3 linked regions of the Schizosaccharomyces pombe genome follow. Each later gene encodes a partner of the first gene's protein in a complex. Each region holds a gene or a part of one and is shown on either strand. Other genes may lie near its edges. The genes, in order: cul4, clr4 and raf1.

Region 1 (3,758 bases):
ATTCTTCAGCGTCATAGTGGCCTCCGCGTGGTGATTCAGCACGTTCTTCCCGTAGATGTGCGGCTTCAGGAAGCGAGACAGTTGATATATCAGCATCCTCATCTTCTTGAATGTTTACAGGATGACGCCTTCTTATGGAAGAAGCAATAGAGTTGGCAGAGGAGCGCAACGCATCAACTCTTTTAATTGGTAAGCTTTGTCCTTGACGAACACGAGGTAAGTTAAAAGCAAAATGAGAGTCCCTTGTTCTCGTAAACGACAAAGCCAACGTATTAATCCTTTTACCAAGCATGAAAAATGCAATACTGCTTCCATGAACAATGATAGAACTTAGAACCAGGAAACAAACTACTGGCCACATTACTTGTATGCAATACCAGTTTGGAATTTCAGGGTTTTCGATAGCATCATTAGGCTCAGGTACAGTGCTATGTACTTCTAATTCGGCTCGTGCAACCAAACAAGTATACAGTGCACCTACACCAATAGGACCAAAATGACCAGCAAAGAGAGCTTCTCGCCAATTGATAATATCAGGAACAAATGATTTAAATAATAAAACGGCAGGAATTCTCCTTGCAATTAAAATACATATAGCCAATACAACGAGTCGCCATACACTCAAATCCATATGTGGCATGTGAAATTGAGGCCAGGGCATGATAGCACCCACGTATACAAAAAAGGAAAGATTGAGAAGAAGGTCGATAACGTTGGAAACATGAGATTCTTCTGTTTTTTTCGAAAACCATGAGTCCCAAGAGAAAGCAGCACCAGCACAAAAAGAAACTAACAAATCATCGACACCAATGATGGTACCAATACCACCACAAAATAGTGCTAAAACGAAGTAGAATACAAGAAAACTTTCACGATCCATTAATCCTCGACGTTCCGAAAATTTAATCATCTTACGGGCTATTACACCTATTATTGCACCTAGCACACAGCCAAAGGTGCATTCGTATAAAATAATGATACATACCCAATCGCGGCCAGCATGTCGGGCAGGTTTCTCAATAATTAAATAAATAGCTAAATACAGAAAAGGAATTGCCATGCCATCATTACATCCAGATTCGGCCAAAAGCATGTTCCTAAGATGACCTGGGACTCGACGTGCAAATTTACCTTTACCGACAATAGAAGAAGCCAACACTGGATCTGTCGCAGTAATACATGCCGCTATAGCTAATGACTCCAGAAAAGAGAGTCTGGGAATTAAAGCATACATGAAGCCAGTACTTACTAGCCATCCAAAAATCATAACAGGCAAAAGCATAACAAACATACTGCGCCAATGTCGAAGCATATATGCTCTTGGAAGTTCAGCGCCAGCTGCAAAAACTTCGACAACTAAAAGGACTCGAGCAAGTTCCTCGGTGATGTAGTCGGTATTACCCCAGCTGGTGGGAACAAACAGTTTTGCAACGTAAGGACCAAAAATGAGACCCGTAGCAGTTGCCATAGCTATATTAAGTTAGTATGCTTCACATATATGAAGAATTGAAGAGTAAAAATAATATGGTGGAATATGCACACTGAAATATCTAGAGATCGCTCTTTATTTAACGAACGTAAACCGAAAGAATAATCTGGAATTACTACCAGCTAAATCAAACAATTCAAGTATCGTTTCAACACGCAAATCAAACAATTGTGCTTTGCAACCACTAATAACTTACTTGCTTCGCCCAAAAAAAGCTTTTCCTTAATAATTAAAGAACATAACATAAATAATGAAGTAAATCCTCCTATAATAGCATATGCTAGATGTGGTTTGGAAATCTCGACTTGACTCCATGCCATTCTCTTTCCAAGTCAACCTGACCTTGTAATTTCAAACCTATATAAACAAAAAGACAAATAAAAAACTTTATAGAAACTATAGAGAAGCTAATAGTTTACTCAAGCACCCAATTGTTTCAACAACTGGCGTTCGTTGTGGATAGTGGAGGATAAACATGGAAAACAATAGTTAGCTAATTGCAATGAGTCGCAGCTTGAAAATCTCTAAAAAACTGAAGAATTTCTAAAGTGAAAAAAAAGGCTTATTTAGTGAGATGGACACAAAAAAATAGCTTGAAAGTGAAATAGGAACTTCGTACCTTGTCTATATGTGCTGCTCTAAACCGACTTTTCTGAACGTCACTACTTGAGCACAAAATTGGTTTTTGCAGGTGAAACTATAGTAGTGAAAGAGCTCAGGCTTTCCACACATCTATTTATTACTTTTTATTTCACATTAGCACACCTATGCCTCCAGAAGCAAAACGTATCGTGGTTAAAGGCTTTGACCCACGAAAGTCGAGGCAAAGACAAGAGACCTACTATGTGACGATGATAGATCGTTTGAACATGGCTTTGCAAGTAGTGATGGCCGGTTTAGGCTTAAAAACAGGTTACCAAGAGTTATATTCGGGAGTCGAAAATTTAACAAGAGCGGATCAAGCATCTCGGTGCTTTAACATCCTACAACATCATATGTCTTCAGGAATCCAGCTTTTAAAGGATTCTGCGGAGTCTTTTATACAGCTTGAAGGGACTGAAACAGACACTAATGCATGCACCGTAGTAGTAGGGTGTTGGAACAAATGGTTGGAAAGAGTCGAGATTGTTCAAAACATATTCTATTACATGGACAAAACATTTCTTTCTCACCATCCAGATTACCCGACAATCGAAGAGCTGTCTCTGTCACTTTTTCGTGAAAAGTTGATGGCAGTCAAAAACATACAAATTCCCTTTTTGAACTCTCTTCTCCAAAGCTTTGAAAATTTACATAGCTCTAAAAGCACTGATCACGCCTATTTACAGGATGCGATGTTAATGCTACATCGCACGGAAATGTATAGCTCTGTGTTTGTTCCCATGTACTTAGTTATGCTAAGCCGTTTTTATGATACGGAGTCTAGCCAAAAAATTCAAGAGCTGCCTTTGGAAGAGTACTTGGAATATGCGATGAGTTCGCTTGAGCGGGAGGATGCCTACGTTGAAAAGTTTGATATTGTGCGCGATAAAAAGTCCATTCGAGAGACTGTTCAAAGGTGTCTAATTACTTCACATCTTGACACACTCACAAAGGGTATAAGTCAGTTCATTGAAAAAAGGGATGCCCATTCTTGTAAACTACTGTATGCATTACTGCAATTCAATCATGAAACCGAATATTTAATTCAGCCCTGGTCGGATTGCTTAGTGGACGTTGGTTTCAAGCTCGTTAACGATGAATCAAAGGATGATACTTTGGTTCAAGAGCTGTTATCGTTCCACAAATTCTTACAAGTCGTGGTGGATGAAAGTTTCCTTCATGATGAAACCCTTTCGTATGCCATGCGAAAAGCCTTCGAGACGTTCATTAATGGGGCAAAGGGATCTCAAAGAGAAGCTCCAGCTAGGCTTATTGCAAAATACATTGATTATTTGCTACGAGTTGGCGAACAGGCTTCAGGGGGTAAGCCTCTGAAAGAAGTATTTTCGGAAATTTTGGATCTTTTCCGCTACATCGCTAGTAAAGATATCTTTGAGGCGTATTACAAGCTGGACATTGCAAAACGGCTTCTCCTTAATAAATCTGCAAGTGCGCAAAATGAATTAATGCTTCTGGATATGCTTAAGAAAACCTGCGGTAGTCAGTTTACTCACTCTTTGGAGGGTATGTTTCGAGACGTTAACATTTCAAAAGAATTTACTTCTTCTTTTCGTCACTCAAAGGCTGCTCATAACCTTCATAGAGATTTGTATGTTAACGTCTTGTC
Region 2 (3,758 bases), on another chromosome or scaffold:
GTAGAACTACTCGTTCGCTCCGTTATAAACAAAAGAAAGTATATAGCGTATGTTGGCGGAAATCTTATAAAATTATATAAAAATACATGTGTTATTTATAAAATACGATATCAGTTAAAAATAAAAACTAATTCGCATGTAAATAATAACGAAAACCCCTGTTTTCTGCGTATATATATATATTTTTTTTTTCAATTGAAAGACTATCAAATACATGTCAAGATTTTTCTTCTAATAACTTGGAGAAGGAATCTTGTTGAAAAGATACTATTTATTTTGAACGGGTTAACTCTCATTTGTTTGATATCTATGGACTTTGCTCATGCACATCGTACAAAGCCGTTTATATGGTAATGCTTTAACTAAACGAAATTAATCTCTTTTTTCCAAAGATGCTAAAGAACTTTTATTTATTTTCACATTCGTTCGGCAAGTAGGTAATTTCCGTCATAATTCTATAAGAGGCGAATATGCAATTGTTAATATATTTACATCTTGTCCTTTCACACTTCAAATAATAAATAATAAAGCAAGATTAAAAGCAAGAAATACAATTGAAAAATCGTAAATATATACAGAGATTTTGTCTTCGGTATGGCCTATTCCACATTGAAAATTTCGCAACCCGGTATGGTGGCTACAATATTAGTTACATTCAAAGTGTATTTGTTGAATCTTTTGTGCACAGTATATGGATCTGAAATTTCATTCTCATTCACTAGAGGCATCATTGGTAATATTGAATCCCTGGCATGTTATATTGGGCTTTGTTTTTTTGTTTATGGTATGAAGGGATAGGATTAAAGGCTTCGTTCAAAAAATATATCTAATGTACAGTAGGTATTCTGCAATCAAATTTTGAGTTTGTAGTCTGGTGAATTTATCGCACCATCTAATTGAGATCGACAATTATCAAGGGAGCTTTCACATAGAGTATTAAGAAGCACTAGAGATATGGGTCAAAGCATGTATGGTTTTTTGTTTTCTTTATTCATTTTTTCAAAGTTTAAATTTAAATGGAACTTTTTAAGGCATGTTGGCACCACCGATTTGCAATTCAAAATTGAACCAAATTAGCAACATTTTGGATTGGCTACTGTTAATCAACCTTTAGAGCCTGCAGAAAATTTATCCAGAAATGGAGTACATGACTTCTCCATTGTCATTCAAAATTAACAAGCGAAAAAACCAAATACCAACATGTGCTTCTAGAATGGGTTATGGGTTATCGCGTTCTGAAAGTTGGCTGGAGACTCAATCTTTTTTAATTGACCTTGTTTATCTAATGAGCTCAAGTTTAACCATTATTAAAAAATGAATGCTCGAATGCAAAGGTATTTGGTTCCTTACTTTATTAATTTTGCGAGAAGCTTGTTTATAGGCATTCTTTGTACCGAAATCAAAACCCGATAGTCAAATATAATAGTTTTTAATCATTATAAAAATGGCGATGCGACTAATTGTGTAAAAAGTTTTTCTATGGACAATCTTACTGTTGTTTCATTTCTTTTATTATTATAGAGCAATTGAACATACTATTGTTTTTTAAAAACGCTCAACTTTCTTATTTAGACACAGATGGGTTAGACTCCGTGCTGCACACTGATACAAAGTCAGCTACGCAGTTTGGTATCTGCTTTAACGATAACATAGAACTGCGGTAATTTTTCCTTGTTAACGTATTACAATACACAGGTATTACAAGTAGCAATTGAGTATAGGTATTAAATTATCTAGATTGCATTGTGACCTATAACTAATATAGCTTATAACTGAAGTTCATTCCTCAGTTCAGTTGCAGCTCAATTTATAATCTTTTTAGTCTTCATTAGCCAGCGTCTATGTAAATATGAAAATGGTTTTGCGCATTTATCAATAAACTGCTCTAAAGTAATATCCTAACATATGACATATAGTGATACGTTACGTGTTCTTCATTAGAGCAGTGTGTTGTTAACACCGTATTTCCTTTACGGGGCGATTCTCCGTTTCTTTAAATTTTGACTTCTGTAAAGGAGTGCGATTCAACAACCTGGTCGAAATACAAACTGTTATAACATGAATTGGCATTGCTAGTTTGGATTGTTGTTTGAAAGTTGATTTGTATATTATAACTTTAAAATTACTTTGTACTTGATACCTTTTTCAAATTTCAGAGCTTCAATTTTGCTCTGAAATTGAACACATCGACTTTATATATTTATTGCTCATTACTAAAAAACATTCAGTTTTATATTCTGAGTTCGCGGTCGTCTATTATTTTAGTCCTTTAGCAATTGTCATATTAACATAAACCCTCTCCTTATTTTATTTTTTAAATTCGTTCAGGCATCATTTGGAGGGTTTGCTAAAAATCATCTCACCAAACAAGAGGTTATTAGTTTTGCGAATGTCGCCTAAACAAGAGGAGTATGAAGTTGAAAGGATTGTGGACGAAAAATTGGATCGTAATGGAGCTGTCAAACTATATCGCATTCGATGGTTGAACTATTCATCTAGAAGTGATACTTGGGAGCCCCCTGAGAACCTTTCTGGATGTTCTGCCGTTTTAGCAGAATGGAAAAGGCGGAAGAGGAGACTAAAGGGAAGTAACTCCGACTCGGATTCACCGCACCATGCGAGCAATCCACATCCAAACAGTAGACAAAAGCACCAACATCAAACTTCAAAGTCAGTGCCTCGTTCTCAAAGATTTTCGCGGGAATTGAATGTAAAAAAGGAAAATAAAAAGGTTTTTTCTTCTCAAACTACCAAGAGACAATCTCGAAAACAATCCACCGCTCTGACGACGAATGATACTAGTATCATTTTAGACGATAGTCTTCATACAAATTCAAAGAAGCTGGGGAAGACGAGAAATGAAGTGAAGGAGGAATCTCAAAAAAGAGAACTAGTTTCCAATTCTATTAAAGAAGCTACATCCCCCAAAACATCTTCAATTCTCACAAAACCGCGAAACCCTTCCAAACTTGACTCTTATACCCATCTAAGTTTTTACGAAAAGAGAGAGCTATTTCGTAAGAAACTGCGGGAAATTGAAGGACCCGAAGTAACGCTTGTCAATGAAGTTGACGATGAACCCTGTCCATCTTTAGATTTTCAATTCATTAGCCAGTACCGCTTAACACAAGGTGTTATCCCGCCTGATCCAAATTTTCAATCTGGATGCAATTGCTCGTCCCTTGGCGGTTGTGACCTTAACAATCCTTCTCGTTGTGAGTGTTTAGATGATTTGGATGAGCCAACTCATTTTGCCTATGATGCACAGGGGCGGGTCCGTGCAGATACGGGTGCCGTTATATATGAATGCAACTCTTTTTGTTCTTGTTCAATGGAGTGTCCTAATCGCGTTGTTCAACGTGGTAGAACTCTTCCGCTTGAAATATTTAAAACAAAAGAAAAAGGATGGGGTGTACGTTCGCTTCGATTTGCCCCTGCTGGCACGTTTATCACTTGCTATTTAGGAGAAGTCATAACTTCAGCAGAGGCCGCCAAGCGTGACAAAAATTATGACGACGACGGTATTACCTATTTATTTGATTTAGACATGTTTGATGATGCTAGCGAGTATACAGTGGATGCTCAGAACTATGGAGATGTCTCTCGTTTTTTTAACCACTCCTGTTCACCTAATATAGCTATTTATTCTGCTGTTCGGAACCATGGATTTCGAACCATTTATGATCTCGCTTTTTTTGCCATCAAAGACATTCAGCCTCTAGAGGAGCTTACATTTGATTACGCTGGTGCAAAAGATT
Region 3 (3,758 bases), on another chromosome or scaffold:
TTATCTGGTTTACGCGAATCCCAAACAAACGTCTGGTTATCTGTACCACTAGAAGTTACCAAGATTCCAGAGTTACTTATGGTGGCATGGTTAATGTCTTTTTGCGTTGTCGTAAAGTTGAGACAAACCTTATACATTCTTGTGTCTAAATAATATACTCTTCCATTGCTCAAAGTATTGCTACTTGCGACAAATCCAACTTGAGAAGGATGCATATATAAGGAGGTAAATGCTTCGTCAGCGGTGTTGAATTTTTGAACGAAGCTGGCAGTGGAAGCATCAAACAGAGCCAAACATCCTCTGTTATTAGAAGTATGAAAACTATCATATCCAATAATGACTTTGTCAGATGACCTTCCCAAAAAATTGGAAAATTCAATCAAAGATGCAGAGTACCCTTTTTCTAGAGCTTCTGGATAAATTAAATTAGCTGATGTGAGAATTTCTCCTGTTGAGTTGTCAGTGCTCAATAAATACCCATAACCATTTTTGCAAGCTACTGCAAGTAAATCGTCATCAGATAGAGCAAGCTTGTGAATATAGTCTGTGGGTGCATTAAAAATCCCACATAAATTTCCTTCCATATCCCAGACTTTCACAGCATTGTCGAATGCACCTGTATAAAGAAACAGATTACCCTTGGAAAAACACAAATCTGATATCGTAGAGTATTCCTTTTCTCCTACTTGATTAAGTTTATAATGGCTTTCCAATGACTGAATAGTTTCTGAGTGAAAATCACCAATCCATAAGTTGCCTAGTCTATTGTAAGCACCATCTTGTGCTGTGCTGCCTAAGGCAAATTTTTCGCACAATGGATTATATGCAACGCACACTGTATCCCCACTAGTTTCATTGAAATGTTTCCAAGGTTTTAAAAAGAAAACTGATTCCCCGTCCATAAGTTGATGAACTTGTTCTCTTTGGAAGTAAGATGAGCCTGCATTGTAAAAGGATTTTAAGTAATCTGGAAGTAATTTTTTATTCTTCTTGTATGTTCGTAAAATGATGGCCCCATGTTTGTCCACAGGAGACAAGCTGGGGTTATCAATTTCAAATTTCTGGCAATCTTCATATGCTCGTCCAGGAAGTTTTGGAGAAATGTGGGTCGAATAAGCATCATTGAACTGAACACTGTTTACCGGTCCAAATTTTAGTTTAGCTTCTTGTAAAATAAAGCATTCCTCTGGTGTAAAATCAACATGAATGAGTGATGGTTTATCATCGCCTGTAATGCTATTTGAAAGTAAATGAGTGTGTTTTCTCACTCTTTCACTCAAATAAGGACGTGAATTAGGTAAGAATGTCCCAGACGTTAGTAAAAGTTGCAATTCTAATCGTTTATTTACATTTGATGGAACTTTTGCAATTGAATGCTTCGATATTGATAATGACGGTTTCGGGCAAGGTAGCTCTGCGCGATAAAAAGGATCATAAATCTCAAATTCTTCCTCAAAAAATTCTTCGTTATTTGTGTCAAAGTCAACCTTGGGCAATTTAGAAGAGACGGAATGCAAATATTGCGTATCCGTTCTTCTTTTCACCCGTGGTGAACTATTAGTCATGCCATAAATAGGAAATTGTTTGAGAAATTATTGGGCTTTTTACTTTTAATCCTTCAGTGTGCAAGTTCACTAGTTTAACAGAAGTTATGGGTTGCTGAGTGAGTTTAAGGCACTGATTGATATAAAGAATTTACTAAGTCCAAAAAGTATAAAGACATTCCAAAATCGAAAATATTATATTAAAATTGAAGATATAATGATTATCTATTGAGTTACTATTATTACAAATTTATCAGTCAAAGGTAAGTTAATGACTTTACATTGAAGCGATAAAATCTTAACTATGTTTAATTTGTTTTAAAAAACTTTAACCGTTCTATTGACAACTCAATAATAAATTATATCCATTAATAGGAATCCCCAAAAAAATAAATAAACTTCCAAAACGCATATACTGACTTAGGGAATTACGGTCCAAAAAACTAGGATAACAAAAAAAATGCAAAGGGAGATATGGCAGGTATATAAAAAGGAAACGGCCAAAATTTGGGCTAATTTTAAAAAAACAAAATTCTAATTTGAGAACAAGAATTGCATATCCTCGACAGAAAGCTGGTTCAAAGCCTTTTCGTCTTGATCTATGGTTGCATGTATCATCTGAGCTTTCTTTTCTTGTAGTTCAATAATTTTGCTTTCAATGGAATTTTCAATACACAGGGTAATTACTTTTATCGGCCTTTTTTGTCCAATACGATGAATTCGATCCATTGCCTGCCACTGTACAGCTCCATTCCACCAAGGATCCATCATAAACACTTGAGATGCCTCTGTAAGGTTCAAAGCAACACCACCTGCTTTCAACGAAACTAGAAAAATGGTAATATTAATATCGTTACTGAAAGCCTCAATAGTAGCTGCTCTCGCTTTGGGGGTCATACCACCATCTAGCTTTACACAATTAAACCCGGCTTTTCGAAGTCGCCAATGAATGAGATCTAACATAGAAGTAAATTGAGAGAAAACAATCGACTTCAGTGTTCGGTCCTTCTTACGAAGTAAGTAAAGCTCCTCAACTAATGCTTCAATTTTTGTAGATGAACGCCAACTATTCATATCAATTCTATTCAAAATCGATGCATTCTTAAACTTCTCTTCAGAAAAATCTTCTAAAGCAGGGGCACTAAGATCTATGCTTAAGGGAATGAAACAACTTGGACAGTTGACATTTTCTCCATCACCAGCTGCATTGATATATTCCGTAACGCAGAGTCGACAAAATGTGTGATGGCAACGTGATTCTATAGCATCTTGAGCGACTTCGTCACAAATCTTACAGACGATATTTTCCTGATTTTCAATATCAACTGTTTTTCGTTTGCTAGCTAACACCAGGTCAGGATGATCTGCCATTTGGCGCATTCGTGTAATTAGCTGGAAAATGTTTGCATAATTATTCAAAACGACACCTTCAGCAAGATATGTATTAAATTTTCTTTTTGAATCCATATATAAAGATTGGTATACATCTTCCTCTTCTTCGTTGAATAAATCTTTCCTCACTTCAACGACTCGAGGAGGTAATCCAAGGTCATCAGCCCTCTCTAATTTTGTTCGACGTAACATAATGTGTTTTAATAAAGAATGCACCTTTTTAAAAGCTAGCTTTCCTGGACCTTCGTATCCAAACTTTTGTATTGGTTTTAGCATTTCAGCGTTAAAATAGCAAGTATGACTCATTGGTTTATGGCCGCATTCGTCGCAATTACTTCTATCGGAAAATCTCCAGTGCAGAGATTTACATTCACATTGCAAGCAATAGTAGTAAGCAAAAGGATCTGCCCGTAGGAACCGAAGAAGTGAAAATAATTCTCCAATACGGTTTTGCAAAGGTGTTCCTGAAAGACATATCTTTCTTGTCGTTCTTAAGCCACAAACAGCTCTGGCAGTGTTACAAGTCCTTGATTTGATACCATGGGCCTCATCAAGTATAATTCGGTAAAACTCCATTTGATGAAGTAATGACTTTTCTTTTACAACACCGTTTTTCCTTCTGAATCCGCTGCGTTCCTTCCTGTAAACTGATTCAATTACATTGTAACTCGTTAGTACAACATCATAGCTCGAAAGCTCTTCTCCTGAAATATCACGAGCCTGGCCATAATAAAGATATGTACTCAGTGCTTTATTGGTATGTGTATCAATCTCTTCTTTCCATTGCATAATTGCTACAACCGGAGCAACAACCAAGGTTGG

What was found.
Region 2: cul4 (region 1) and clr4 share a complex: the UniProt entries of both Schizosaccharomyces pombe proteins name them as parts of the clr4 methyltransferase complex.
Region 3: cul4 (region 1) and raf1 share a complex: the UniProt entries of both Schizosaccharomyces pombe proteins name them as parts of the clr4 methyltransferase complex.

Annotation. Positions count from the first base shown.
Region 1 is NC_003424.3:3,450,800-3,454,557, forward strand, and holds the start of cul4 (CLRC complex subunit, cullin 4), read left to right. Parts: upstream 1-2,145; 5' UTR 2,146-2,256; coding exon 2,257-3,758. UniProt on the Schizosaccharomyces pombe protein: Required, indirectly, for activation of ribonucleotide reductase through the degradation of the protein spd1, thereby supplying deoxyribonucleotides for DNA replication and repair. Also has a role as a scaffold for assembling ubiquitin ligases.
Region 2 is NC_003423.3:456,679-460,436, reverse strand, and holds the start of clr4 (histone lysine H3-K9 methyltransferase (Suv39) Clr4), read left to right. Parts: upstream 1-2,026; 5' UTR 2,027-2,389; coding exon 2,390-3,758. UniProt on the Schizosaccharomyces pombe protein: Histone methyltransferase which contributes to the establishment of heterochromatin by specifically methylating histone H3 to form H3K9me. Part of the Clr4 methyltransferase complex (ClrC).
Region 3 is NC_003421.2:100,607-104,364, forward strand, and holds the start of raf1 (CLRC ubiquitin ligase complex WD repeat subunit Raf1/Dos1), read right to left. Parts: upstream 1,659-3,758; 5' UTR 1,566-1,658; coding exon 1-1,565. Other genes in the region: rhp16 (ATP-dependent helicase), read right to left, coding at 2,079-3,758. UniProt on the Schizosaccharomyces pombe protein: Component of the Clr4 methyltransferase complex (ClrC) which contributes to the establishment of heterochromatin by specifically methylating histone H3 to form H3K9me.